Rhinolophus ferrumequinum: one gene and its partners. The protein of the gene in region 1 interacts with the protein of each later gene in a biochemical or structural test. Links are inferred from orthologs where the notes say so. Each region holds a gene or a part of one and is shown in the gene's direction. Other genes may lie near its edges.

Region 1 (8,063 bases):
TTCTAGTTGCAGGGGACACAGCCCACCATCCTTTGCGGGAGTCGAACCGGCAACCTTGTGGTTGAGAGGACATGCTGCAACCAACAACTGAGCCATCCGGGAGGCAGCTCAGCTCAAGGTGCCTGTGTTCAATCTTAGTTGCAGGGGGCAAAGCGCACCGCAAGGGACTCGAGGAATTGAACTGGCAACCTTGTGGTTAAGAGCCCACTAGCCCATGTGGGAATCGAACCAGCAGCCTTCGGAGTTAGGAGCATGGAGCTCTAACTGCCTGAGCCACCGCCGACCCTCTGAGCCATCTTGAAGTAATTTTTGCATATAGTGTGAAGTAGAGGTCAAAGTTCACTTACTTCTCCCATATGGACAGTCAGTTGTGCCAGCACCATTTGTTGAAGACAGTCCTTTCCCCAATGGATTGCTTTGATATCTTTGACAAAATCAAATGACCTTTAAGTGTGAGTTTATTTCTAGCCCTCAGTTCTGTTCCATGAGTCTGTTTGTTGATCCTTATGCCAGTACCACACTGTCTTGATTACTGTAGTTTACAACTCTTGAAGTAGTGTAACTCTTCCAGTTTGGAGGTTTTAAATTTTAATTTTATTATTGTTGTTGTTGTTATTATTAGTAGTAGTAGTAGTATGTAGCATTGGGATTTTAAAAACTCCCTGGGTGACTCTAATGTGCAGCCCAAATTTGAATACTTTAAGAACATTCTAATGTGAGCCAAAGTTTCCAGACCCAGCTTTCTCTGTCCCTATCCTCTAAGGCAATATGATAAACCAATTAGTATACTTGATTATACCTCCTTAGAGGAATCCTCTTCCTCTCCAGCTCTCTGGCTGATGTATTAGGGACTTCCTCAATTTTTCACCTGGCTCCCCACTGCTTCTAGGAAAACAAAAATCTAAATTCTTAGTGTGGCTAAAATCACCCTTTGTATTTAGGCTCCCTGATCTTCATCCATTACCCTCCCCAATAAGTACTTTAAACTTCAGTCATATCATATCAGTTATTCCTCAAATGTTTTAAACTTCCTCATGCCTCCATGCCTCTGCCTGCCAGCCTAAAACACACTTTTCTCCTGTCATTGCTTGTCATTTCCTTCTTTTCTTTCAATATGTAGCCAGGCGTCATTTACCCTGGTCTGCTTTGACCCCCTTATCTGGAATAAGTATCCTGCCCTGGTTCCCATGGCCCTCTGTGCTTGCCTTTATCGTAGGCATTAAGGTACCGTGTTGTAATTGTCAATCATCTTGTTGTACGGCCCCACTGATCTGTATGCTTCTTGAATGCTGAGACTACGTATTTCTACCTCTTGTCCCTACTGCCTAGCAAGGTGCCTCGCACATATGAGGTACCTAATAAATGTTTATTCAGTCTATGAAAACTGGCCTCCAATCTGCATTGTGATTTGGGACAGATTCCTTAATCTCTCTGAGTCTCTATTTCCATATCTACAAAGTGAAAATAACACCTTTTCCACAAGGTAGTTATGAGACTCAAGTGAGCTAATTCATGTAAAATCCATTGCGTGGACCTGGTACATGGTAAGTGCCCAATAAATCTTGGTTCTCTTCCCACCTTTCCATCAGACCTGTCAGAGACACCCTCCCATTTACACCTCTTTAGTTGACCACTAGGTGGTGTCAGTCTCTGGCCTGCCATTCAGTCCCAGAGCTGCCCCTTAATGCCCCATTCCAGTGCCTGTTACTCTCAGACAGGAAAAGGAGATGGTTAATGATTTGCTGGGAGATCCAAAAAAAAGGAGATATCCTCTCCCACACCAACTTCTTTGCCACTGTCACCATCCTAGGTATCCTGATTATGGATTGCAGAGAAATCTTCCTTGATTTCCCACTATTCTCCATACAAGGATTTGAAGATGGAAAAAGCTTCTTAAGAATAGAAGTGGGAGAAGAAGCTGGAGACAGAGAGGGATTGCATAATGAGTTACTATAGAAGAAATATGGAGAAGATGCTTACAGTCACATCCCATTTGACAGGAATTAATTTTGATTGTCTCCTCAACCAGCACAGGTCCTCCCAGTCCTAATGCTCTTGCCAGCATCCTCACCATTAATCGAAAGCTCCTAACCCTGGGTGGATCCAAAGAAGTAAAAGACATAGACATCCCTGCCCTTAAGGAGTTTATGGTCTGGTGGTGGACATAGACCCGGCAAAATTAGGTGCTAATGTCTAGGTACTGAGGCTATCTTTTTTTTTTCTTCAAGTTTTTTATTTAGTTAAGTGTGTTTTTCCAGGACCCATCAGCTCCAAGTCAAGTAGTTGTTTTAGTCTAGTTGTGGAGGGCGCAGCTCACAGTGGCCCATGTGGGGATCAAATCGCCAACTTTGTTAAGAGCACAGTGCTCTAACCAACCTAGCTAACCGGCCGCCCACTGAGGCTATCTTGAGTGCCAGTTCGGAACAGGAGAGATGGGCAGAGCGAGAATTAACAGGAGAGCTTTTCTTAAGAGGGTAGGGAGGAGCTGGGAGAACAGTATAATTAAAGGCTCAGGTAGAAATATGCAATCTTTCACCTTATAGAGACACCCTCAGCAGTTTACATACTGGAAATAACCTAAGTGCCCAACAACCCCAAAAAATAGTGGAGATTCCAAGTAGCCAATATAAAGAGTGAGCTAGATGTGTGTGTACATTATGGAAAGGGATCAAGACAGGTTAATTGAAAAAACCAAGTTACAGAACAGTATATATTGTATGAGCTCATTTGTGGTTTTAAAGGATGTTTATATATATTTATCATTTAAAAAAAAATCTTTTGGAAGGAGAACCATGGAACTCTCAGTAGTGGTTACTGTGAGGGTGGAACTGAAGAATGGGTGTGGAGAACAGCAAGTTTACTTTTCACCCTGTACCTTCCTATACTCTGAGTTTTTTTAGCCACTAATTATTACTACTTTTTATAACACAAAGTTAATAAAAATAAAAACACATTCACATTCAGGAGCTAGTAAGGGTTGGGAGGTAGCAAGTGAGAAGTGTTGACATGCTGTCTGAGGTCAGATTTTGGATGGCCATGACTGGGAGAAGAGTTAGCATTTGATTCCGTTATCTCCAGACACCCAGTAGCGGTTCACCAGCCAGGAAGAGACTAAACAGGGAAAGCAGATTTAGGAAGATTCAACTGTGTGTAAGGTAGTTAGCAGGGAGAGAAATGAGACTCCCCCTTCATAAGTTTCATATGGTCAATCCAGCTAGCTTTTTCCTTTCAAAGCTGTCTGAAATCTGTTTCAATCTGATTTCACTTGGACCACAATATTGGGAGTCCTGAGAGAGGAAGGAACCTAGGAGGCATTCATTAACAACATTTAGAGCGTCCCTGCCATGTGCCTGTCGCTGTGTTAGCCAATGATGGTTGAAGAAAAGGATGAGTAAGTCCCACCCCTGCCTGAAGAAATTCTGCAGTGGAAAATGGAGGAAATCTGAGCTTTATTTCAAAGGAAAAAAATAACAGACCTTGAGCATAGCCTTGCAAGACTGGATATAGTTGGCAAAGAGTCTGAGGTTTCTAGCCTGGGAAACTACAGGCAGATGGCCTTGGCCCTGAGCAAAGTGAGCCCAGAGGAAGCTCTGGTTTGGGGGAAAGGTCAGGTTCCCTCTGGATTCCTCCTCACTGCCATCAATTGACAAGTCCTCCATGCTGCTCTGCTTTCTGCCAGAACTGACAGGAGTGAGGACTTGGGGCCCTTCCTTGACTAGAATTTTAAAAGGGAGAGCGTGGTGCAACCCTCTCTCATGCCTAACCGTCAATTTCTGGCAGCCAAGGTCGCCTGCTGTCTCCCTGAACTCTGACTTCAGACACCAGAAAGACAGCCAGGGTACAGCCTTAAAACGCCGCCCAGAAGGGGGCAGTGGCCAGAAGCACATTCACCGGGCTCTGGAAACAGCCTCGCCTTCTGGACTCAAAGTAGCATTCCCGTACAGGCTCAGAGCCGGGACAAAGGTCCCGCACTCATTAGACATCTCCTTAGAACTCCGGTCCAGAGTCCCTCATCTTATTCCAAATCCCTGTTTGCTCGGAATCTAAAACCTCGACTTGGTGAGAAGCCAGTCAGAAGGTATAAAAAAACAAAACACCAAAGAAAAAATAATAAATGAGCCCCTACCTCTTGGGGCGAAGTGGGGTGGCCCTTCCTCAACCCCACCCGCTGGTGACTCACCTCCCTCCAAACCAGAGACTGCCCCTCCCGCGCCCGATGCCAGGCGACCAGGGCGGGGCGGGCGCTAAGGTGGGCTCCATCTCCAAGTCCTAGGCGGGCAGACAAGCTCCGGCGTGTCCCCGCGGGTGTCCCTGTTTACTCCGAGCCCTGGAGCGAGGTGGGGGCGGGCCCTCGCGGCCCCTCCCCTACCCCGCCCCCCTTCGCCGCAGGCCCCAGTCCTCGTCCCAGTCTTACGAAGTCTCCAAATCAAAGCTCAGCCTTTCCCTGTATCTTCCCTGCAGACTGGCGGCCCCTGCCCCCACCCCAGGCAGGCGAGGCACAGTCCAGGTTCTCGGTGGAAATCAGGCCTCGGCCCAGATTTGGATCCCCAGGTCTTGGATCCCCAGACCCCGCCTGAAATCCTAGGGCATGACACCCAGTTTCAAAGAGAAGCCGCTCCGCTCTCCTTGTCCACTGCCCAATCCCCCCATGCCCCTTCAGCAATCTGCAGCCTGGGGAAGAAAGTCCCAATTAGGGGAGAGGGCGCTCTTGGCCCCAAATCAGCTAGCGACGCCCAGATCCCACCACTCCAGAACCGCTGGCCAGAGCTCCAAATCTCGTAGCTGCTCAGACAGCCCCCTCCCCAGGGCAGCGCGCCAAATCTGCGCATGCGCACTCACAGGACTGCCGCGTAGCTCTTTCCCCCCTCCCTTTTTCTTTCCCCGCCCCTTCTCTCCCTCCTTCCTCTACCCGTCCCCTCCCTCTCCCCCACCTCAGCCCGCCCCGCGGCACCTCTGTCCGGGGAACTGTGGTGCGAGCTCCAGGCCCGTGCACTGAGGAGGCGGAAACGAGGGGAGCCCCCAGAGCTCCATCAGGCCCCTTCCAAGGGCTCCCCCACCCGGTCCACGCCCCCCACCCCCCACCCCGCCTCCTCCCAATTGTGCATTTTTGCAGCCGGAGGCGGCCCGGAGATGGGGCTCTGAGCTTCGCCCAGGGAGGGGGATAGAGGAGCGAAGAGAAAAGCAGGGGTGTGAAGGGTTTGGATTTGGGGGCAAGGGGTGCAGCCCCATCAACAGACCTTCCCTAAGGGACTCCGAACTCTACCTCTTCACCCACGCCCCTGGTGCGCGTTGCGGAGGGCTAGGATAAGAATAGAGGAGGAGGGGGAAAGGAGGAAAAAGGGGGACCCCCCAATTGGGGGGGCGACGGCGAGAAGTAGCAAGACCAGAGGGGAGGGGGCTGCTGCTTGCATCAGCCCACACCATGCTGACCCCGCCGCAGCTGCTGTTACTGTCCCTGTTCTCAGCTCTGGTCTCGGCCGCTATCGATGGTGAGTGAGATTCTGCGGCCCCCTTGGACCCCTGGGGACACCCACTCCCCAGCCCCCACTCCTGCGTTCGGATGGGGAAGGGAGGCGCGGGAGGGGGTGCCTTTTGTTATCCCAGTCCAGCTGACACCGCAGCGGCCCAACTGGGGGTGGGGATGGGGGTCCAATTTGGAGGATGAGGGCCCTGGGCAAATGATGCTTCCGGGGGGGCCCCCCAGCCCAAACAAAGACCAGAGGCCTGGGAATGGAGAGGAGGGTTCCCCCTTTTTCTGATCCCGGGATCCAAAGGCCTTCTCTTCCTATCTCTGGTCGGGGAGGGCCTCCACCTCCCTTACATCCTCCCCCCCTCCACCCCCATCTGAATTGTGAAGGAATCCGGATTTGCAATGTAGGGCTCCAAAAGGGGGTGGAGGGCCTTTTGCAGTGGCCTCTAAATCTGAAAGGGAGAGCCAAGTCAGGGGTGACCCGCTAGGCAGAGGGCAGTCAGGCCCAAGAAGGCTGTGGGTAGAGAGGGAAGGCCACGGAGAGTGCCCCCTGCTTGGGTGTGGAATCGGGGCCTGGGAGACCAGGCTTTGAGGCCTGGGTCCAGGATCCAGATGGCTGCCCGCCTGGGTTCCGAAGTGGGCACTTACCCCCTCTCAGAGCCTCAGTCAGTAGCCTGGATAGGGCTGTATTGGGGAGCAGAAAAAAAGCAAGTGATGCTATGTGACTGAATTTTTCTTAATTCCTGGGAGCTGTGAAATGAAAAACGTCAGATGTCATCGCTGGGGAAGGGGACTGGAGAATAGTCTGGAATGCTGAGGTGGGAGGGTAGAGGAAGGCTGCTTTCTCCCTGACTTCTGGCTTGATCACAGTTTGGACTAGAAGGAGAGTTGGAGGTTGGGTGGGTGGGGGTTATGGCTATGCTCCCACCCCCCAATTCTCTGCTCCTTTGGTAAATGTGTATTTCTCTCCACCATTTCCCCTCCTGCCTTCATATACACATATTTTGTATACTGTAGTTAGGTTTGGGCTAGAACTCTGTCCTTTTGGGGATATGGGGTGCCCCTTCTCCCCTTTTTATGTCAGCTATTTTTTCTCTTACTTATGAGTCACTGGTTCAAGTCTTGCCCAAGCTGGGGACACAGGGTTGGGCTGGGCTGGGCCCCTGATTTGAGAAGCAGTGGGATCTCATCACTTCCCGTCATTTTAGTTCTGTCATCCGGGGGAAAATGGCCTAATACCATCATGCACCCCTCCTCCATCTTCTAAATTTTGCCAGGTTGGGATTGGGAAAGTTTTTCTCTGAAACCAGATTATCTCTCCCTCTCTTTCCCTCCTCCCAAATTGCTTCGGTTGCAGGAGGGAGGTTAGGGGTTCAAGAAGTAGCTGTGTCCAGAAAAACAGCGTATTCACTGGCCCTCAATTATGCCATCTGGGGGACTGTCTGCTCCTCCCCCCCGCCCCCTACTACCTTAATTATCTGCCCAAGAGGAGGAAAGAGGATCTGCCCTGAATATCCTCCAGACCAGCCCTCACAGCCAGCCTTTGCCCATGACTTCCTCTCTTTTGCACTTTCTTTCCTCTTGTTTTCAACCCTGTGAGGTGGGAGGGGAAATCGAGGCAGAGAGATTTGGGTATAGCAGCTCCTAGGAAGGATAGGTAAAAATATTTAAGAGAGAAAGAGAAAGAGACCACCAGGAACCCCATGTCGAAGGATGGATGGAGTTAGAAGCAAGGGGGGGTGAGTCTCTGTGGAGAGCAGCAGAAAAGTTTCCCAGCCCAATCAGGGATGAACCCAGTCACGTCACCCCCAGGATTCTAAAACAGTTCTATTTGCCACACCAAGTTGGTTGGTGGTAAATGGAAGAAGGAGACTGAACGTGTCCTCCTTAACTGTCTCTACCCTTTCTTACAAATTTCACCCAGTCCACAGCTGTAACCCCAGCTCAAACCAACTGTATCAGAAGTCCCAGGGAAAGGACCCCTCCCCAAACACACACTACTGTTCTTACCTTGGGACTGGAGATATGAATCATGGGTCTCACCAGGTTTGGGGTGAGAAAGGGGAATTGCACAGATCCGTAGGGCCAGTGCTATCCAGGTAGCCGAGGGGATTCCGTTATCTCTACCCCTGCCCTCGCACCCCAAGCCCACTGACAGAACTTCCTCCTTTCAGAGAAGAAAACCCTTGGCCCCAGTTTACCTGACTTAGTGTCTAACCTTCCTTCCTGCTGCTCTGAGGCCTGGTTGCTTTCCCTCCAGAGGAGCAGCCCTCAGGACCTGCCCCACTTCTTCTGCTTTCACTGCTATTCTTGAACCTACCCCAAGATCCCCTTCTTTTTGGGGGGCAATGTCACTTGCCGTGAGTAGACAGAATTGAGTGTGCTTGATCGCTACTGGAGAGGATGGGGAAACAGATGGAGTGTGGAATGGGAAGAGGGTTTATTGAGGACTCTGCTCAGATTAAGAACATTTTGTAGTGAGGAGGGCAGCGCCAGGCAGATGTGGCTCAGACAGAGAAGGCGGACTGCCTCCTTTCCTCCGCCTTCCACACACCCCCTTGAGCCAGTGTATTACCAGTTAGCAGACAAGCTC
Region 2 (7,162 bases), on another chromosome or scaffold:
GTCTGTTCAGGTCCTCTGCCCATTTTTTAAATGGATTGTTTTTTGTTGTAGAGTTGTATGAATTCCTTATATATTTTGGATATTAGCCCCTTATCAGAGGCAATGCTTGCAAAAAATCTTCTCCCATTCGGTTGGTTGTCTCTTTATTTTGTTGATGGTTTCTTTAGTTGTACAGAAGCTTTTTAGTTTGATATAGTCCCATTCACTTATTTTAGCTTTTACTTCCCTTGCCTTTGAAGTCAAATTCATAAAATCCAAAAATATACAGTGAAAAAAAGACAGCCTCTTCAATAAATGGTCCTGGGAGAATTGGAAAGCCACGTGCAAAAGAATGAAACTAGACTGATATCTGTCACAATGTACCAAAATTAACTCAAAATGGGTCAAAGACCTAAACAGAATTCTTGTTCATGTCCAAATGAAAATGTTGAAGACAGAGAAAGCCTGGTTTCACATGGCTCCTTCTTAAAAGCAAGAGAGAACATTTCCCCGAAGCCTTCAGCACACCTCTCATAGGCCAGAATTGGGCCATGATAATTCCCAAATCAGTCACTAGTTGGGAAGTGGGAGGTGGTGGTAGAGAAGGTAGTTACCCTTAAAGTAATAGTTCTACCCCTTCCCACGGAGATCAATTTGCCGAGTATATGCTTCGATTCTGTAGGGAGGAGACAATGTTTGGGAGTCGATCACCTTATCCACCCCAAGAACTAAGCGTAACTGTATGAAACGGTATAGCTGGTTAGGGAAATGGTGAGTAGTTCAGTCCAGTCCTTCTGTGCCATAAATTGACTTGAGCATAAATCACTTTGGAAATTCAAATATTAGAGCTCTTCTCAAGCCCGAGACTTTGGGTCTTTACAATCTAGTCCTTACACATATGAAAATAAAATTGATTTTTAAAAACTAAACAATGAAGAATGGAAGGTGATGGGTTATGTGGCAGAGATAACGTATGCTTCAAATTTCACAGAAAGAAGAAGCAATGCAACATAAAGCCACTGGAGAACATCTCGTGAAGGAGAGAGAGCTGGAGCTGGTGTTCGATTGAAGGATAAGAAAAATCTGTTGGTAACTTTTCTCTGGCTCTGACCATGGAGGCAGCTGAACTAAAACAACCATGAACCATGATGTAGGGAAAATAGTCAGAGGGAATGAATTTATGATGTCTTCATTTTAGAGATGCTGTGATTTGGGTCTATTCTAGAATACAGAGAGTTTTGGTTGCTGCTCATTTCTATGAAATTTTCCACTGCTGAACATTTCCAACATGTTTTAAAATCCTTACATAAAATCACAGCCCACCTTGCTGTTCTTTGCTAGATAAACAAAATTTTTTCTCAATTATCTTGCTCTCCTTAATTGCAATTTTTAAAGTAGCTGTTACTGGCAGTCCTTTCCTTCTATTTACTGGCAATGTTCTTAGGTCAATCCCATATCCAATTAGGGAAACTTGGAAAAAGGAAATCCTACAGTGAAATGCCATATGCCTTACAATTTTATGTTAAATAAGTAATCCTCAAAGACGGCAACTTGGCAAGGAGAGAAGTGGATCCTCTCCCTGGAAGTCCCATCACTTGGGTCTGTATCAGATTATTGGCCTGAAGTCCCAGCACTTGTAGGTTAAGGATATATAGTAGGTTAAGGATACATACACACAAGAGGGATGATAGCCCCTGTATTAAAAGTATAGGTTTTCTTTCCTGTTTTCCCATTCCTCCTTCTCTCAAAGCTTCCCAGAGGTATTTAGGTTTCTTGGGAATATTTTCAGCACACATTGACCAGCAGCAATGTTGGTCAGACACCCACACAGCTGCCCAGACACCCTGTAAACTGTGATCCTTCTATTCCAACACAACAACTAGAGTCCTGTGACTTGGGGAAGGCCTTTGTATTTGAGATAAATAACTCCCGTACCTCTGTCAGCTTTCTCTGACAAGATGGCTCTTCCTGCCACCATACAGGTCACCTTCCTATTTGTAAAGCATGTAGAAGGTTAAAATTCTTCTCGTTGTGTTGAAAGAAGCTAAGTTCCAAGAAAACCCCAGATGCATTCCTATAGTCCCTTAATCAATGAAGCATCTAGCCAGGAGGGGCATTCCAGTGAGCTTCTACTCCATCCCTGTGGCTAAGCCTACGGGAGATGATCTTTTTCTAAAAGGAGAGATGTACCCTGCTTTTGTGGACCTCGAGCCCTCAGCTGACCTGTATAAAATTAGCACGTGTGCCAAAGGAGCAGGGGGCCATCGGCTAGCCATTCCTCGGAAAGCTGTTCCTAAGTACCTAGTCTCATGAAGAATTAGTAGCAAGTGACCAAGAAAAAAAAATCACTTTTCAAGGAGCGAACAGAATGCTAGCAAGAGAAGGAAGGGGAGGGACGTGTATGGCTGCTGACTCTGGAATCTTCAGATCTGTTTGGATGAATCATTACTTATGACTTCCACGACAGGAATCTGATATGACTAATCATCTGATAGAGACTTTTATTTCTGTCTCTCAACATGTGAAATCTATCTGACTGTCAGGTTTAGTTATTACTTAAGCAACAAACAAACATGTGTCTTAGGAACATACTTGTCATCTTCTAAAGCCACTTGATGTATATTGAGTAACTGGAAAAAACTCACTCCACAATCCACACACACATGCACCTTGTCACACAACACTCCCATACAAGAAAAGTGAAATTGCTGTTTGATGAATGTAAATTCGTGGGTGTTTCCAGCAATTAGGAGTCCTGCCAGGTGTGAGTGCTAGGAAGGGAGGTGAACCCCAGGGCTTTCCCCAGCCTGTGGCTGAGATCCTTACTAGGTGAAGCTACTACCTGCCCCCGTGTCTCAGGGCCAGCCCGATAGTGCTGGGACCACAGCGTGGAAGGGTGGCTGCTGACATCCCAGCCCGAAGAGATGAATGGAATTCCAGGCAGCTGGAGTCATGCTGGCTTGGGACAGTGGCTTGGAGACCAGACTGCCAATGACAGAAGTTTTAAGTGGCAGCATTCATGGCAATTGGTGCACCCACAGAAATGTAACCCACGCCTCGCTTTCAGGAGCCGAAAAATGAAAAGAACGTTTAGGGAGCGTAAAAAGGAAATAAAATAATAGGCAGAGGGTAATTTATTATTTTATGGGTCTGTTCTGTAAATAGTTTAAAACCTGGAGCCAGATGGTTCTGCAAATTATCCAACCAGGAGTCACGTTAAGAAGCACGAGTGGGCACAAAAACTGTTTTTCAAGACACAATTTCAGTTTTGGCTTCAGGGAACTGGATGCGAGTTTCTTTAATATCCCTGACTAGAAAGCTGTCCTCTCCGTCCCCTTGATCACAATACGCATACCTCCCCCAAGCGGTAAACTGTGGAAGCGCTGTAGCAATCGGGAGGAGAGACGTTCGCGGGGACTTGGGCGACAGGAGAAAGTGTGCCCCGACCGGCAGCGGGAACGCGAGCTCTAATCACTGCCCTGCGGGCCGGCATGACACCACACTCACCTCCCCGAGTGGGTCAGGCGGAGGGCAGAAGCGAGACGGCTCGAAGCCGGGCGCGTGGTCCTCCACCCCACCCGGATGGATGGATGAGGGTCAACAAGCACACAAGAAGGAACTTCTTTAAAGATTGGTTCTCTCTTGGTCACATTTATCCTATCGGGCTTTTTTTTTTTTTTACTAACGGGCTCGGTCTCCCAGTGTGCACCCCTCAGCCATCGCCCTGGCGTTCAAGGAGACGAGTTTGTCTGATAGCCCCCTAAGGGTCTTGGATGGGTGGCTGAAGCCCCGTCGCTGCTCGGGATGCTTACCCTGAACCCATTGGCGGCGTGGCGCAAGAGCCAAAGTGCTGAGCCCGCGTGCGCCAAGGCCGCGTGGGCGGGCACCAGGTTTTCTGAGAAGTTCCAGGGCCCTCGGGCCCCGACCCCTGCCTCCCCCTTCACTTTCTAGCTGGAAAGTTGTGCGCCTAGCGGCGGGGGGCGGAGAGAGGAACCCAGACTGGCCCCCCTCCCGCTTCCTGCCCGGCCGCCTCCCATTGGCCAGAGGAAGGCCCAGGAATGTGAGCGCCCCTTTAAAGGCGCGCGGCTCCTCCGCCTCGCCAGCCACTGCAGCTGAGCCGGCGGGCCCATCCGGAACTCCTGCGAGCTCTCCCTACCCGGCCTCCGACTCCGGCCGAAGCCCCCCCAGGCGCACCGCGCTCTCCAGGACTCGGCGCCGGACGCTTGCACCCTCGCCGCCACTCCGGGCCGCTGCGCCCGTGTGCACACAGGTAAGGAGTCTCCGGGCTGCCGCCTAGGAGCAACGCTGCCCTGGCCATCCACCTGATGCTCCGAGGATCCAGCCCCTCCGGGGCTCCGGAGAGCAAACTCTCCCCCTTTGCCTTCCCCATCCTGTCCCTCCCAGCCGCTGGGGGATTCTTCTCGTGGTAGGGCTCCAGAGCCATCCTCTCCAGCCTTGGGGTTCACAAACCACTTGTCAGGATATCCCAAGTCCCTCTCTAGAGAAAAGTCTACAATACCCTCCCGGCGCCCCCAAACTACATCTCCTGGTCCTGCTGCTTACTCTCCACCTCCCTAGGACAAGACCCCAGATGTCTGGTTTTTCCCCCTCCCCATTTTAGAATCACAGTCTCCTGCTCTCAAATCTCCTTTTCTTCCTGATGCCCTCTCCAAAGTCAATTCTGTTGTCCCTCATTCCAGCAAATGCGGGGCCATAGAGAGATCCCCAGGTACCTGGCCCTATGCCCATCCCCCAGTTACTGCCCACCCTCCCTGCTTTGCTGTCTCTTACCCTGGGCTCTGCTTCCTCCTGCAGGCTCCCTGCTGGGCACAAACAGTTCCACCATGGGGCTGGCCTGGGGACTCTGTGTCCTGTTCCTGTTGCATGTGTGTGGCTCTAGCCGCATTCCAGGTGAGTCTGTATAATACCTTTGAGGCGGGAAGGAAGAGGTGGTGGTGCTGGTTACCCCAGGTGTGCTTTCCTCCCAGCTCTCCTTTCCCAGCTGTTTCTCCCTGAGCCCCAACTGAACACCAGGAGGCAGGTTCCCTCTGACTATGGTGTTTATTCAGCTTTCAGTGGTTGCCAGGAGTTTTCACCCTGACCTCTGGCCCCACCCCTCAGAGCTGAGGCACCCCCACCCCCACCCCGGGTCCCATTCTAGAAAGCTCACAGTGTGTATTGCTCCTAACAGAGTCTGGGGGAGACAACAGCGTGTTCGACATCTTTGAACTCACGGGGGCTGCCCGCAAGGGGTCTGGGCGCCGACTGGTGAAGGGCCCCGACCCTTCCAGCCCAGCTTTCCGCATCGAGGACGCCAACCTGATTCCCCCCGTCCCTGACGACAAGTTTCAAGACCTCGTGGATGCTGTGCGGGCAGAGAAAGGTTTCCTTCTCCTGGCCTCCCTAAGGCAAATGAAGAAGACTCGGGGCACACTGCTGGCAGTGGAGCGGAAAGACCACTCTGGCCAGGTCTTCAGCGTGGTCTCCAACGGCAAGGCGGGCACCCTGGACCTGAGTCTGACTGTGCAAGGGAAGCAGCATGTGGTGTCAGTGGAAGAAGCACTCCTGGCCACCGGCCAGTGGAAGAGCATCACCCTGTTTGTGCAGGAGGACAGGGCCCAGCTGTACATCGACTGTGAGAAGATGGAGAATGCTGAGCTAGACGTCCCCATCCAAAGCATCTTCACCAGGGACCTCGGCAGCATCGCCAGACTCCGTATCGCAAAAGGGGGTGTCAATGACAATTTCCAGGTGAGGCCTCTTCTCCGATTCGTGGTCTGTGTGGGTCACCTGCTAGCCAGCTGACCTGTCAGGAGGGCTCTAGCAGGAGAAGCAGAGGTTCCCGTACAGGAAATACTGCCTGTGGACTACAGCAGTGGTTGTCAAACTTTAGGGAGCACCAATATCACCTAGAAGGCTCGTAAAACTCATACTGCTGCACCCCACCCAGTTTCAGATTCAGTAGGTCTGGGGTGGGCCTGATCGTTTGCATTTCTAACATGTTCCAGGTGAGGCTGATGCTGGTGGGGGGTGTTTTGGGGAACCACACTTTGAAAACCACTAAAGGAAACAAATGGTTTTTCTATAGCAGCCTGTTCCAGCTTTAGATACTCCTTATACTTTTCTCAAGAGAATAACTTATTTCAAATGCATTCAGCCAATTGTAATATTGCTTGAAATGGATACTTTGTTCTAGCAGAATAAATACCACTCTGCTATTTGATCCCTCATGGGGATGTAGCTGGTCTCAAATAAAAGGTTAAAATAGTGGTGATTTGCTGCTGCAGCTTCTTCCTCGCTTAAACTTCTAGATCTTTGCAACGGGGGCTTTGAAACTCCCACATTTAATTCTTTGACACTAGAGAGTGTCATTATATCCTCTGGCCTTCGTTTCCATTTCCTGTGTACCCAAGTAGGCTGATAACTGAATTCTTTGTAAAATACTGAAGACTTGGCAGAAGATACAATTAAGATTTTGAAGTTGTCTGGCAATTTATGTTGGTGTGTTACTTTGACATGGTGATCTTAAAAGGGAGCTCTTTCAAACTTTTAGAACATCTATTGTGTGCTCTTCCTTGCATAAACAGTCTCTCCCACCCACGTAGCTCTCCCAGCACTCCACGGGTAACGTGTCCTCTGCCCACAGGGGGTGCTGCAGAACGTGAGGTTTGTCTTTGGAACCACACCAGAAGACATCCTCAGGAACAAAGGCTGCTCCAGCTGTGAGTACCCTTCTGTTTTTTAGGGCCTATCGGGAAATTAGGGGAATTCCACCCAAAACAAGCTGAGACATTTAAGCAGTGTTGGTTGTATATAAATTACCCTGGGTAGCAGTTCAGAGGTATTTAAACGTGACCTTAAAGGCTATTCCACACACATGTCCCTTTTACCTGCTGCCTACCTCACCCCAAATGAAATGTCTTTTACAACGAGGAACTCAGGCTGGCCGATGAGAGCATCTTCCATTACTTTTCTCATTGTGATTATTTGCTTTGTGGCAGCTACCAATGTCCTTCTCACCCTTGACAACAATGTGGTGAATGGCTCCAGCCCCGCCATCCGCACCAACTACATTGGCCATAAGACGAAGGATCTGCAGGCCATCTGCGGCATCTCCTGTGACGAGCTGTCCAGCATGGTCCTGGAGCTCAGGGGTCTGCGCACCATTGTGACGACGCTTCAG
Region 3 (7,881 bases), on another chromosome or scaffold:
GAGATTAGAGCATTGGAAGTCTGCAGTTAGAGAAAGACTTATGTTTGCACACAATTTTGTACTGCTTGAAATTTTGTCTTTTGTGGTTTTATTTTGGTCAAGAGTATATTATAGCTTTTATAACGACAAATTCAATTAAAAGGAAGAAGAGAAGTATATAAGGCCAACAGAAAGCTTCAGTCAAATGAAGTTGTCCTCCATTTCCCTAACTGGATAGATTTGGTCCAAGTAGACTAGATCATGGCAAGGAGGGTGTGTGTGTGTGTGTGTGTGTGTGTGTGTGTGGTGTGTCTTCAAGTTTCATAATTACTAAATCTAGTGAAAATTTAAAATAAAATAATATCCTGCTTTCTCTCCCACTTAGCACTGGATCATCTTTTACTCAGGGTTATTAATTCACCTAACAACTATTGACTGAGAACCACCTAACTTCTCAGTCTGATGCTGTGGGAAGTACCACAGAGGTGAGAAGAGCAATACCTTCCTTCATTGTTATAAATAATTTAACAAAAGAAACAAGAAAAGTTCCAATAACAATACAAGAGCTTAATGATTACTCAAGTCAATTGTTTCAAACCCCTTAAAATACTTTTTTTTTTTTTTTGATATGTTACAGTGTCCCTAGGAAGACAGCAGGGGGCACTTCAAACATGTCTGTGCTGAGAGTCAGGTCCACTCCTGTCAGTCTAGGGCTTTGATGATTTGTCTGAAGTTATCTCAGAACATAAAGCCCTCCGCAAAAAACATTCATGGTCTTGCATAGTAAAGTCATTAACTAGGTCTGATAGAAAGTCTCCTTCGAGAACTTAAGTTTTTAAGTTTTTTTGGTGGGGGAAGGAGAAAAAAGCTACTTATAAATAAACATGGATTATAAATCCAGGTTATCTGTGGGACATTCTTTTTAGTTTGTATTAGCTGTCTACTAGGGAAGGCCGGAATCCTTCTCCCCCTTGGCCTGTTGTAGCTTCTCTGTGACAGCATCTGTCTCTCTGGTATGTTCTGACGTGTCCCCCTTACCATAATGCCTTGTTCCAGGACAGGCCATTGCAATACACTATTTTTTTTTTAAATTCACTTTAAAAAAATTTGTATATCTTTTATTTTTCTTCACTTTATTTAGACAAATCTTTTAATTCTGATATTAAAATATGATTTCCTTCTTTCTCTTTGTTTTTTGTTTCTTTTGTGTTTGGAAGAGGGGAGGGAATGAATATCCCCAAATCAAGAAAACCAAAATCCTTAGAATATGTCTGGATTATTTAACAACACACTTTTATTATTTGAAGCAGTTCTCTCCACACCTCACAATTCCTTCACCCCCAAAGCAAACCGGGTGAAGGAAGGAGACAGTAACAAATTGGCTAAATATAATATTTATTTGTACTTTAACTTTTCCAGAATAGGACACCCAACTTTATCAATGGAGAACTATATTCCCTCTGAGTTTAATTGTCCCTTGAACTGCTACTTGGAATTTTTTCAATTTAGCTTTGTTGGGTAAAGAATCAAAGAGGCCTGCAAGATCAATAGCTCCACTTAACTACCCAGTAGGGCAGCTCCTACAGCTATGACCTCATGCTTATCCCCACCCTGTCACATCCCATCTCCATCCGGACACAGCTGGCGCTCCTCCTTGTTTACAGTTTAAGGCCAGGATATAAGTGGGTAGCAGTGGAAAAGTCTATGGGAATTTTTAGTAAACATCTTGGTTTTGTTTTTTTCTTATTAAAAGTCAAAATATTTTAAAAACCTTTTTATATTTATGATTTTGTATTTGTAAATTTCATTTGTACCAGTAATGCTCTTTTCCTACATTAAACATAATTTTTGCGATAGACACCAGATACATTTCAGTACTGATGCTCTTTTAGAGCCCAGGCATTTCATCATAGCTCTGCATGTACAAAACACATCTGCTTCCCAGGCTTTTCCGGTTTGCAATTACAGCAACATTCTAACATAACACATCAAATACATTTTCCTCCTTTTCTGGGATCACTAAAGAAAAAAAACACTGTATGAATTGTGGTTAGTGTTATTTAATCTTCCTTGAATTTTATCTTCCCTCATCTGTACAATGGGAATATTATTAAGCTCACCGTGTTTTTGTAATGATTACATACAGAAAGGATTGAAAAGTGCCCAGTGTGTGCAAATAGCAAGCCCTCAATCTAAATAATAGATAGATACTTAGATAGATGATAGAGGACAGATAGATGATAGAAAGAGATGATAGATAGGAAGGAGGAGAAACAGAGAGAGAGAGAGAGTTTCCCTACATGTGGAGTTCTGGAGTTTCTGGCAGTCTCTTTAGGTATACACAATTAACTTTCTACTTACGTCATTTTAAACTCATACGAGGAGAAGACGTCCAGTCATGAGTACTGGTTTGCTGAACATCTATAAAAAGCTTAGCCTCTTTTAAACTGAAACTTTTTAAGTCTGTTACAAAGGAAATGTCAATTACAGAAACCGTCATACCTCACGGTGTGGGTGATCAAATAACCTTGCTGAAGCTTGGATGAGGCGCCTCGCTAACGCACATGCAGTCTGGACTTGGAGGTCATGTGAGCCTCTGCACGAGAACGCAGGCATCTGATCGCTCCGAGAAAAGCCAATCAGGAGAGCGCGCTGCCGCCACACCCACCGGCCCACCACCTGCCCTCGCATTGGAGCCAATCCATCTGCTTTTTCCAACAGGCTGAGCTGCTGTGAGTTAATTCTTCCTGGAAATCTCTGCAATTCGAATGCACATGCAGTGTAACACTAGAGGCCATGCCAAAACCGGTTTCATGTGTATATTTCATATTCATATATATGAAGAATTACTCTAACTCTTGATTGCTTTGAATTTGTTATCTGTTAACTTGAGAAATCATTTTAAACATATAGCAGACTTCCCTCAGGCAATCTTCTTGCAGTTCTCTGAAAGGCACAGAAGTGCTGATGGTTTGGTTGTCTTAGCAAATGATTTAAAAAAAAATTAATGTGTGAAAATAGACTGCATGAGTATTTTATTTAAGATAGTAGGCATTTTGCACTTTTGTTTATATGTCATTTAAACCTTGACCACACACAATTGTACTCACCTCGTGTCATTTTTTAAAATTAGACTTTACTATATAATTTTTGGAGGACTGTCACATCATAGTTACTCATCACCTGCATGGTCTGTTTTGCCACTTCTAAAGTTCTTTTGAGGGGATTAATTCTTGGCAGGTTTCAAAATTCCTCCACATGCTCTGTGAGATGAATGTGCACAACATATTGTTCAATAATTGCAAGACAATAATACAGGACAATATATTGTGTTGTGCCATTTAATGCATCAACTTAAAAATAGAATTCTATTCTATAGAATAACACACTTTGAATTATATGGGTATTATCAGGTGTATTTCATTTTTGAGAAAAACTTTAAATGTGAGCCTCGTTTAAATCATATGGACTTTCATCCTTCTAACATACAAATGAAGATTGTGTGTGTGTGTGTGTGACAGAGAGAGAGAGAGAAAGAGAGAGAGAGACAGAGAGAGAGAGAGAGAGAGAGAGAGAGAGAGAGAGAGAGAGAGATGGAGGGAGGGATGAGTAAAAGGAAGCAATAAAGATGTTCAGAGAAATAATCCAATATGGACAGTGAATTGAAGGTTTTTATTTTTGAATCTATTTCTCAGATATAAAGTGAAGAGTATAGAGTTAAACTGTCCTTTCTGACTAATGCAAATCCTTTATACTTAAAAAGACATTTGAGAGTATTCTGAGCATTTTGGCAAAAATACAAAACAAAACAAAACAAAAACAACAAAACAACAAAAAAACAATTTCCCACGTGATTTCATTATTCTTATTATTTTTACTTACATACCTTAATGCATCTGTGTTAATAGCTTTATTAAGATATAATTTACACACCATAAAGTTCACTCACTTAAAATGTACAAGTTAATGTTTTTTTAGTATGTTTACCCAGTGGTACAACCATTGCCATAACGTAATTTAAAACATTTTCATCACCATTCCCCCAAACTTCTCCATTCTCCACCCCCAACCTCATTCTCCAGCTCCAGGCAACCACCAATCTACTTTCTGTCTATAAGATTTGCCTATTTGTGGATATTTTATATAAATGGAATTAAATCGTACAATACGTGTCTTTTGTGACTGGCTTCTTTCACTTTGCATAACAATACAGTTTTAAATTATTTGACCTCAATATTCTGCCTCTGAGAATAAAATGTTATACTTGCATTCTTTGATGGGTTTGAGTATAATTTGCACGAGGCAAAACTTAGTAATCAGAGCAAGAAGGCTTTTCTCCACCACATCAGCTAATCCATTTTGCCAATGTTAACATACCAGATTGTTCAAGCGCAAGCTGCAGAAAACCGTGTGTTTGTGGATCCCTAAATTGATATTGTCCGGGAGAATTTTGGGGAAAAAACCCTGCAAGTTACAAACAGGGTCCATCAAAAGAGGAGTGGGTTTAAGCATCCCAAATGTAGTTTAACAGCTTTACTTGTCCTCCGTGGAAAACTGGTGGTTGCGGAGTATTTAATATAAATCCACATAAACCTGTGTTTGGTGCTTGTACAGGGGGCCCTGGAGAGCCAGACCCCTTAGGAAAAGCAAGTAGGAAACACAGTGAAAGCAAAATTTCTCTCTGCCCTTTCCCCCTCTTCTCGCTGGCAGGGTTGATCCTCACTACAGTTTGCTCAAATATTTGGAAGTGAATTTAGGGCCCTCCCCCCAACTTATGATTTTATAGCCAATAGGTGATGAGGTTTATTTGCATATTTCCAGTCACATAAGTAGCCGTGGAGTGGAAACAGTGTCAGACTCGATTCCTTCTCCTCCGAGGAAACCTGCCACTTCTAGCTGCCCTGCCCTCCCTTTTAAAGGGCGACTTGCTGGGCGCCGGACCGCGGCTCCAGCCTACTCCTGCCTCGGGCTCCGAGGTCCATCAATCTGTCCGCGCTTCTTCCCGTGACCTGTAGCTCCTACAGAGAGGGACGCGCTTCGAGATGGGGAGCAAAGCGCTGCTCCTGGTGGCTCTGGGCGTGTGCCTCCAGAGTCTGACTGCCTCCCGCGGAGGGCTGGCCGCCGCCGACAGTAAGTTTTGCGTGCACACTCCGCTCCTCCTGTAAACTCGGCTCAGTGGCCACTTCCACGCATGGTGAGGATTCGAACGAGAAAGTCTGAAGCGGGTGCAGATGCGCTCCGGAGACTCTTCCAGCCCGAGTGCGGCTCCGGAAAGTCATCGGGGCGGGATCCGCTGAGAGAGGGGAGGGAATTGTCCCTCCGATCTCGCTGGGGCAGCTCCTAGTTCCCGCTCTCTCGCTCTCTCCGGGTTCCCGCGCTGTCCCCTCCGCTCTGGCGGAGGCCGTTCCCTGGCGCCCGGGCTCGGCCGGGAAGGGACGGGGGGAGTGTGAGGGGCGGGACGAGGGAGGCGGGAGGAAGGGCCCAGATGGCGGTGACCGACTGGAATGAAAGGCACGCAGGCCAAGGTGACCCTGGCGTGGCAGCAGCTGCGGCTCGGGCCCCGCCTGTGGGAGCGCGGGCAGAAAGTGGCCCCTTCTCCGGGAGAAGCAGGAATCGGGCGGGAGGAAGGGTTGCCCGCATCCTAGAGGCACAGGATACCCTCACCCTCCGCGTGCAGATGGGAGTGGGGGACGCGCGACGCGTGGAGCGGAGGTCTGGGGACGCGGCATCCTGCACGCGTTCCGGCGCCGGAAGTTCCCCACCTTCCACTCTTGCACGCTCCGCTCTTCTTAGCGCGCAGAAAATCTAGCGAAGGGGTGACCCTCTTGAAAACGTGGCCGCTGATCTAGGGGTTGCACGGTTTGCACTTGGCTATCCATACCGTCCTGTGAGCCGAGTCCCGTTCGGGGCATCGCCGGGAGGCTGCGGCTGAACTCGTCATCGCCGGGGAGTCGGGGGCGTTGGAAGCCAGATGCAAATTTCTTTAATCGCGGTGTGAGGTGCGGGGCAGGCAGACAGGTGGAGGGGGATGGTGGTGGGAGAACCAGCCCCCTGTCCGAGACCTGCCCACAATAGAGACAGCCTGCTTAACTTGAGCCTTGGTTCAGCTAATATACAACGGCAACTTTATAAAAAGGCAACTGAAACAAGTCATGAAAGGAGGCAGCATTTTCTTTTCTCTTTCCTTCGTGGAATTGCAGCGAGGGCGGTGTCGCTTGGATGCGCCTTCAGGCGGCAAGTTCGCAGTGGTTCAAATTATAGTCGAGTTTGTCCGTGACTTTTACTGTAGCTGAAAGTTTACCGCAGTACCGAGTTGTGGGAAAGAACATTTTTGTTAGGTTAAAAAAAATGTGGATTCCATGAAAGCTGAATTGGATAATAAAGACGAGTATCTTTTCTGTCAGATCGGTTTCTGTCAGGGCTTCAATTAGAAAGTCTTAAACTTCTTATGTGGAGGCATGTTCCCCTTGGATAGTATTTAACGCTGTCCAAGAAGATGGTAGGAACAAACTCCAGATTCTTATTTTTAAAAGTGCACTATAGTGTAGTAAAACACGCACAAATATGTGCCAACCACAGTTTAAGTTTTTGCTAGGCTCCCTTAGAGGTTCAGGACCTTAAATTCCTGGGCTAGTCAGTGTCACCTTTCCGAGTTTGGCTTCCTCAACTCTAAAATGAAGAGTTTGGACCAGACTCAGAGTTCTCATAGGCCCCTCTAAGTCTTACTTTTTGATTTAAATGGACACTTACGTGATTCATGAATTAAATTGGATTTTAACAAACACATGCTTTTCCCGACTGTAAATGTATTAAAGGAGGAATCATTTTTTAAGTAGACTTGAAATTAATCCCTTGTCTTTCCCTCCTACGCTCACTCCACACAACCCCTCTTTATAGTGTGCATCTCCCGTCACAGCAACTTTCGGCTTCTTTTCTCCTCCAAATAAGTTTATTTAAGATGTAAGAATTTCATAGCCGAAAGCTACAGGTGTAAGGGCCCCTCCTGTGGGCTCTGACTTTACTTATTCTCAGTTCATTGTAAGAAGAATATGAGGATAGGAGGCAATGCCCTCAGGTTCCTTGTTCTTGGAGCCACCACAATCTCTGTGTGGCCTTATCAGGAAACTGGAAGAACTAGGAGATGGAATGTATGGGTCAGTACTCAGTAGTTGCGGTTCTATTTGACTGGACTTAGTGAATTTCCAGACTAACATCTGAATTAAACATGATGGATTATGACAGCAAAATAGCAGATACTACTTGCAATGGAGCAGAGCTCGGTGAGGGAGTGATTGATAGACAGCTGTATTGGAAGAGTTACGTGGAAAACTTTCACTTTCTTTCAGGCAGTGTATTTTTAGCTCAGTCCTCCTTTCTTGCTTTATTCTGGGAGGAAAAATTGGGCTATACAGTTTACTGCTTCTATTTTTACAAACATTTTTTTTCCCCTACAAAAATGAAGAGCAAATCTGCTTGTTAGGTAAGTCAGGAACATTGTCTGCATTGGAATACCTGAAAAGACCAATCGGTTCGTCAGATAACAATACTGATTTTTTTCCCCCTCCCCAAACTGTTTTGTTTTCATCTATTCGACTTGTTTCTTGGCATTCTACAGAAGCTGTTTGAGTCAATAACTGTGCCCATCCATCTCAGAGAGGATGTGAGTTAGGATAGAGTCCTTTAGGAGTTGTGTGTGTGTGTGTGTGTGTGTGAGAGAGAGAGAGAGAGAGAGAGAGAGAGAGAGAGAGAGAGAATAGAAACTTCAAAGAGAATTGCATTACAATTGAGCTCTTATACCTCATGTCTTATAAATGTCAATCTTATACATCTGATAACTGAGCTGCCTTAAGAGTGTCTTTTCTGGGATGCTTTGTGCTCCTTCTTTTCGAGCATCAATAATAT
Region 4 (7,123 bases), on another chromosome or scaffold:
TAAGTCTGGTTTGCAAGTGATAAAACCCAATTCAAAGTGGTGTAAGCAAAAAGGAGATGTATTGACTTATGTTACTTCAGGCAGAGGTAAATATAAGTGCTAAAGTGACGTTATCGGGCGTCTGTCTCTCTCCCTCCCTTAGCTCTGCTTCATTCTCAGGCAGGCTCATCCTTCTTGGTGGCAAGATATCCACCAGGCGTACGTTCTACCAGCACTTCTTGCCCAACAGTTGCAGGAAAATTCCTGGATCTGATTTTCACTGACCCAGATTTAGTCATGTGCCCATCTCTGAATTGATCACTTTGATCTCATCATGGGTTAGGAGCCTAACACTGAAGTGGGTTGTGGGACCCACTTCAAATGATTTCCATTTGAACCACATAGACTTAGAGTGGTGAGGGGACGTGTCTCAAAGAAAACTGAGGTGCTGTTGCCGGTAAAATGGGGAATGGATGCTGCGCAGATAACAACAGCAAACGCAACAATATGTTCATGACAGGATAATACCTATCTTGTAAGGTTTTTCTTCTTTTCCATGCAACCCTCCGTCCCTTCCTCAGCTAAACACTTTGAAAATATTGAGGTCACTAGGCATGCAGTACCTCAACCTCTTGCCTGCTCCCACTTTATTAATTACCCCATCTACACCCGTGTCCTCACGCCTATCCCTTTAGCCTGTAGAGTTAAGGTTTCCAGTTCTCCTGGTGAGCCCTTGATCCCACCTCCTCTCATTGCCTCCAGGGTCTTGCTCCATCTCTCAGATGCTTTTTTCTTTACTTTCAAATTCATCTTCTGCCCTGGTACCTTTTTGTAGTGTATGCCCATGTTCAAGTCTCTACCACCTTAAAAAGAAAAGACAAATCAGAATCTTTAGCTTCATATCACTTTTCAATTACTGTCCATTCTTTCTTCCAAATTTCTCAAGGAGGCATTCTGCACTTACTAAGTCTACTTCCTCATTTTCATTTGCTCAACTCATTGCATTATGGCTTCTGCCTCCATTTTCTGCTGATACAGATCACATCCTGGGTATCCATGGCCTCCATGTTACCAAATTCAAAGGATACTTTTTGCCTTGACCTTATTGGAAATCTTTGCTGCATTAGATGCTGCTGACCACTTCTCCCTCCTTGAAAATCTTCCCTCCCTTGGATTTATTCCATGACACTACTCTCCCCTGATTCTCCTCTTACTGTCTGTTTCTTCTCAGTTTTCTTCTTTTCCTCTGCTGGTTCCCCAAATGTTGGCATTCCCAGAGTTCAGTCCTCAGTCCTTTTCTCTTCTCACCTTATATGCTCTCCCTGGGAATGTATTAAAATAGTCCTGCCAAAGAAGGATGTTGAAGAAGTCCTTGCCAGACCCAACATCTGACTTATAAATTCCACTCCATACATTATGTGGGAAGATTTTACTCCTTATACATTTTCCAAATGATAACAAACACCCAGAAGAAAGAGGGTTTATTGGATCAACTACAAGAAAAATTACAATACCAAAGCAATACTTACATGTAGTGGTAGAAAAAGCTACCTTTGCTCCACTTCGTGACTTTGCTCCTAATACAGATGAAAGCTCTATTCTTCCATATAGGTGACTTGGGTGCCAACTTCCTGGTAATGCATAAAGCCAGTGCTCTTGATTAAATGACTCTGAATGGATTTGCTTCTAATTCAAGTTTTTCTTGATAAGTCCAAGGGAATAATATTAAAAGATTCCTGCCTCAGAGGGATCTACATTGGTTAGAACAACACACAGCATCTGAGGTGGTTCATAAGCTATTGTTTACTCCTAGGCCATGGAGAGCCTCAGAAGGGGGAAGAGAAACAAGTAGAGAAAGGATGGATGAAGGGCACAGGTTGACACCCATTGATCAGGAGGCGTTGCAGATCTCCCCCATTGAGGAGATCAGGGATTCAGGAAGACGGTGTGTGGGTCAAACTGCACTGTGTGTGAACTGCACATTTTCCTTTTGCATCTTAGCTAATTAGTCTACTCTTTCACACCCTGACCATCCTATCTGTGTTCCTCTGGTTACCTGAAGAGATTTCCCTGGATATTGCAGCCATCCTGCCCAATGGGGTTGGGAAGACAAGTATACTGATAATATTTCTGGCTTTTTATTTGCTCAAGCAGAAATTTGGAAGGCATCCTTTCCTTCATACTTTCATAGCCAATCAGTCAATTGATCACTGATTTCTATCTCCTGAATATTTACTAAACCCATATAATTGTTTCCATCCTCGTCCCACCACTATAGTCATCTCCCACCTAGACTATATCAATTGCTTCCTAACTGGTCCCTGCACTGCCAATTTTGCTCTCTTCCCATCTATTCCCCACTTAGCAGCCAGAAGTGATCTTCTAAAATGCAAGGGACAACATGCCACTCCCTTGCCTCAAACCCTTTGATGATTTTCCATTGCCCTTAAACTAAACTTTAAAACCCTCAGCGTAACATACAAGGCCCTTCTTGATTTGGAACCTACCCACATTTCCAGCTCCACTTATGCCATGCCTCTCCGCTATCACCCATACTGGCCTTCTCGTACTTCTCCTTTGACTTGGAATGATTTTCTCTTCCATGGCTGACCTCTATTGCCTTCACCCCATTCCCCTCACATAAGTGCCACTTCCTTCTTAAAGCCTCCCCAAATCTCCCCAGGCAAAATTTAGTCCACTTACCTAGCATCCTGCACATCTCATTCAAGATACTCATCACATTTCTAATCACGTTTAATGTGTCTTTCCCCTGTTACTTAAACTTCAAGAGGGCAGGAACTGAATCTTGTTTCTTCATGTGTGCTTAGCACCAAGGACAGTGTCTCACACATAATAATTATTAGTCAAAAGAGAATGAATAAGTGAATGAGGACACCTTTCTTCTCCTGGGTAACTCTTACTCATTTTCCAAGGACCAGGATCAGATGTTATATACTCCAGTTTGGGTTACAGTCAAATCGGATTCATCTTTGGATCCCTAAACTTAGCTCGGGACCTGGTACATGGTTCATACATATATCATAGAGGTTTGTCAAATCATAATAAACTCTTGGCCAGGAGTTGATAATTGTTGAAACTGAGTCATGGGTATATGAGGGTTCATTACACTGTTCTGTCTCCTTTTGTATACAGTTGAAAATTTCCATAATAAAACATTAAAACATTTATATTCACCTTAAGTCAAGTGAAAGTATAGTCAAAGACGTTCTTGAGGCTTCTAGCTTGGGCAAGCCAGTAGATGGTGGTGTCATTCTCTGGGATGGAGGAAGTGGAGCTGCCTCTACTCTTGTGTGTGTGTGTGTGTGTGTGTGTGTGTGTGTGTACACGTGCGCGTGCATGCACATGGAGTGTGTTGGGGAGCGTTCTTTTTCACCCCAGTGAAAATTCTTAGAAGGCCAATAAAGGGGATGAAATAACGAATTTCTATTTGGGCACCTTTAAGTGTTAGAAACCTGACGGCACCTCCAGTCAGTTGCACAATAGTAGCTACCATAAATGAAAACCTCTGCCTTAAAGGAATGAGCCATGAGAGGGTTTCAGGATGGTAACAATCCCCTCATGATCCTTGGTGGCCTCTGGGCCACTGATCTGACCACTGGGAACGATGGCACTATCCAGGCAATCTGCAGTAAACACTGTGCCCCACTATTCCTTCCTTCACACTTTTCACCCATTCTCCCCTTCTTCATTACCTCTTATGTATTTCTACTGGGGAGCGATTTATTGACACCTGCAAGGCCATGGTGTCACAGCTTTATGTTCAGCAGCAGGGGTAGGGTGTCTAGAAACATCTGGTTCCAGTCTGAGTTCACCACCTTGTGACTGCAGGCAAATCTTTTTACCTTTCTGAATCTCAGCATCTGCCTCTGAAAAATGAGGATAACAATAGCGGCGATTTCACAGGGGTCAGTCTGACGCGAGGATGAATGCATGTAAAGGATTTAACACAGAGCCTGGCACAGTGTAAGCGGTCAATAAATACGAGCTATTATTATCGCCAGCGCTGTGTCCTCATCGCCTCTCCACCAGGACGCCCGGGAGTGCTGCCGCAAGAGCGGAGCAAGCTGCCTTCTCGGAGCCCTCCCTGCGCAGCTGCGGGCTGGCCCCGCCACAGCCACCCAGGCTCCTACCCGGTGGGTGCGTCGCCCCACGGGGGTGCGGGGCGGGGCCCTGCCGGCGCACAGGGCGACTCCGGGGCCTCGGGGTGGAGGGCGGTGTCGGGCTGGGTAGGGGTCGGCAGACGCGTGGGTAGCGCTGTGGGACCCGGGAACCCCGCGCTGGCGTAGCTGCTGGCGTGAGGCTTCCGCGGTGGGCTCACAGAGGCCGCAGGGTGGCATTGGGTGGGGCCCTTCGGGACACTGCGTCCAAGTGCAGCCCCGAGCGGCTCGCGCTCGCGCGCCCGCGCTCGGCCCAAGATGGCGCCCCTCCCCCCGCCCGCGCGCGCCCTCGCAGCTCGGGGCGCGGCCCCGCGGCCCGCGCGCTCCTGGGCGGGGGATGTTGTGATGGAGAAGCCGCCGCGGAGCCCGAGCCCCGCAGCCTGAGCCACCTCCGCCACCTCGGCCTGGGGCCTCCCCGCGCAGGTAGGAGCTGCCCCGGCCCGCGCCCAGCCCCGGAGGCCGGATCCCGACCCCCAGCGGCCCGCGGACTGCGCAGCCCCTTACCCGTGGGGGCCCGGGTACCCCCGGCCAGGCCCCATCTCCGCTGGCAGTCCTCGCACCGCGAGCATTCCCACCATCTCCTGTTCCCCCACCTCCATTGTAGGCTCCACCTCGGTCCTCAGCACGGTCATTCCGGACCTTTACCTCCTGCCCCTCCGGGATGAATAGGGGGCAAGTATTGGAGACGCGAAGAGAGGGGCAGTGGGGGGTGGGGGATGGGGGATGGGAGGTGAAGGGCTGGGTAGGGGACGTGGGGTGAGGTAGGCAGAGGCCGCACGTTTTCCTGCAGGGTCCCAGGCCTGGAATCTGTCAAGCCGCATTCTGTCGCTCTCAGCGACCGAAAAGTGTGCTCTGGGGCCGGCTGTGTCCCCAGCTCTGCCAGGAGGCCTAGCACTCACAGAAGCACTCATTAGGAGCAGTGTTCCCACCGCCAATTCAGAGGTTGTTCCGAAACCTATTTTGAATCTGCCTGTGCATTTCTTGCATTCCAAACCTTCCAGCATAGCCCCAACTTACACCACTCTTCAAAGACAAAACCTTGTCTACACTTACTGTCTTCATTTCCTCACTTCCCATTCATTCTTAAAACCGGTTCACTCTGTTTTCTGTCTCTCATACTCAACTGAAACTGCTCAAGCCAAGGTCACCTGAGACCTCTATGTGGCCAAGTCCAATGCACACTTTACTGTTATCCCCTTTACGTTTTCATAGTATTCAGTGGTGTGTGTCAACTCTCCTTGAAACATTTTCCTGGTTTCTCTCCTGGCATTGTCTGCTCCTTCTCAATCTTATTTGATACCTTTTTCCTTTTCCTTTAGATGTCAGTGAAGCTCTTAGTTCTGTTCTGAGCTATCTTCTTTCATTCTGCACTTTCTCCTGGGTATTTTATTCACTCCCAAGGCTTCAAATTTCATCTCTCTATTTATCTATATCTATCTATATCTCTATATCTCTCTATCTCTATCTATATCTATATCTATACCTATAGGTGATCATACCTATACCTATAGGTATAGATATATACATAGATAGAGATAGAGAGATATAGACATATAGATAGGTAGAGATATAGATATAGATAGATAGATAGATATAGAGATATAGATAGATATAGATATAGATATCTGGCTCAGACTAGATTCAATATCCAACTGCCCTCACGACATCCTCTTGGAAGTCCAGCAGGAATCCAAACCTATAGATCCCAAGCTGAATTATCTTCCCTATGTTCCCTCTCTAGCCTTCTTCCAAATCTGTTCTTTCTTTAACTCTCAGAAATGGCTACTTTCTGATCAGTTACCTAAGCTGTAATCCTGGGCAACATTCTAGATTAACCTCTACTCCCTCACAGTCTACATCTAATGTTACCGAGTCCTGTCACATCCTGGTACCTAAATATTTTTCAAATGCATTCATTTTACTCCATCCCCACTGCCACCAAACTTAATCTAGGCCACAATCATTCTTTTCCCCTTGACTGGTCTAATAGCATACCCTCTTGCCTACCTCCCTATAACTACTCTCAACACAGTATGATCCTTTAAAAAATGTATCTGTTTGTTCATTTATTCATTCAACTAATATGCTTTGAGCACCTAGTATATACTAAATACTGTGTTAGGCACTGAAGATATAATTATGAACAGAATAGATTGGTTCCTTATCCCCTTGGAGTTGACAATCTGGGGGGGGCGGATTAAATAAGAATAAAATTACAAATTGTACTAAATACCATGAAGGAAATGTGGATGGTGCCCTGGGAACACAAAAGAGCACAAGCTAAACTGGTCTGGCGGGTAGGGAGAGAAAATCCAGGAAGGCTTCTCTGAGAACGTGACATTTGAACTGAGGTAAAATATGAGTAGAATTTAGTTAGGCTGAGAAAGTAGGGGAAGGAGGTTCCAGGCAGAAGGGAAATCAAATGCAAACACCGTGTGGAAAGAGACAGCATATTATCCTTGAGGAATCAAAGAAGGCCGATGAGGCTGGAGAACAGAATGCCAGAGCTGGAGAGATAGGCAGGGATAACTGAGCAGGACAACTGAGGCCATGTTACAAATTTTGGTCTTAAGGTCTTTGTTCTTGGTGTGGATTGTTGATGGTAGTGGATATGGAGAATAGATCAAATCTAGAAATATGTCTCAGAGAGAAAATTGTCAGTACCTGGAGATGGATTAAGTATAGGGAGTCAGGGAGAAGGTAGTGTCAAGGATGGTACCCCTACCTCTGGTTTGCACAACAGAATGGTTGGTCATATCATTCCACGATCCAGGATCCTGAAAGAGGACCACTTAGTGGTGAGTGAGAGAAACATGAGCGTGCATGTTTGAGAGGCCTTTGAGACATCCAAGTGGAGATGTTGAATGAAAAGTTGATATACATGTGTGGAGCGCAGATGAGGGGTCTGAAATGGAGGTGTAAATTTGGAAATCAGCATATAGATGGTAACTGAAGCTATGCTCATG

What was found.
Region 2: the proteins of LRP1 (region 1) and THBS1 form a complex in vitro, tested with the Homo sapiens proteins (3 studies listed by BioGRID). The link is inferred for Rhinolophus ferrumequinum from reciprocal best matches to the Homo sapiens genes LRP1 and THBS1.
Region 3: the proteins of LRP1 (region 1) and LPL form a complex in vitro, tested with the Homo sapiens proteins (3 studies listed by BioGRID). The link is inferred for Rhinolophus ferrumequinum from reciprocal best matches to the Homo sapiens genes LRP1 and LPL.
Region 4: the proteins of LRP1 (region 1) and APBB1 form a complex in vitro, tested with the Homo sapiens proteins (2 studies listed by BioGRID and IntAct, with this or other methods). The link is inferred for Rhinolophus ferrumequinum from reciprocal best matches to the Homo sapiens genes LRP1 and APBB1.

Annotation. Positions count from the first base shown.
Region 1 is NC_046293.1:56,173,653-56,181,715, forward strand, and holds the start of LRP1 (prolow-density lipoprotein receptor-related protein 1), read left to right. Parts: upstream 1-4,957; 5' UTR 4,958-5,422; coding exon 5,423-5,489; intron 5,490-8,063. UniProt on the Homo sapiens protein: Endocytic receptor involved in endocytosis and in phagocytosis of apoptotic cells. Required for early embryonic development. Involved in cellular lipid homeostasis.
Region 2 is NC_046289.1:65,322,329-65,329,490, reverse strand, and holds the start of THBS1 (thrombospondin-1), read left to right. Parts: upstream 1-4,079; 5' UTR 4,080-4,249; intron 4,250-4,794; 5' UTR 4,795-4,823; coding exon 4,824-4,890; intron 4,891-5,170; coding exon 5,171-5,730; intron 5,731-6,625; coding exon 6,626-6,701; intron 6,702-6,980; coding exon 6,981-7,162. UniProt on the Homo sapiens protein: Adhesive glycoprotein that mediates cell-to-cell and cell-to-matrix interactions.
Region 3 is NC_046301.1:52,063,018-52,070,898, forward strand, and holds the start of LPL (lipoprotein lipase), read left to right. Parts: upstream 1-4,732; 5' UTR 4,733-5,021; coding exon 5,022-5,109; intron 5,110-7,881. UniProt on the Homo sapiens protein: Key enzyme in triglyceride metabolism.
Region 4 is NC_046294.1:45,383,670-45,390,792, forward strand, and holds the start of APBB1 (amyloid beta precursor protein binding family B member 1), read left to right. Parts: upstream 1-4,001; 5' UTR 4,002-4,133; intron 4,134-4,428; exon of another isoform or gene 4,429-4,580; intron 4,581-4,761; exon of another isoform or gene 4,762-4,829; intron 4,830-7,123. UniProt on the Homo sapiens protein: Transcription coregulator that can have both coactivator and corepressor functions. Adapter protein that forms a transcriptionally active complex with the gamma-secretase-derived amyloid precursor protein (APP) intracellular domain.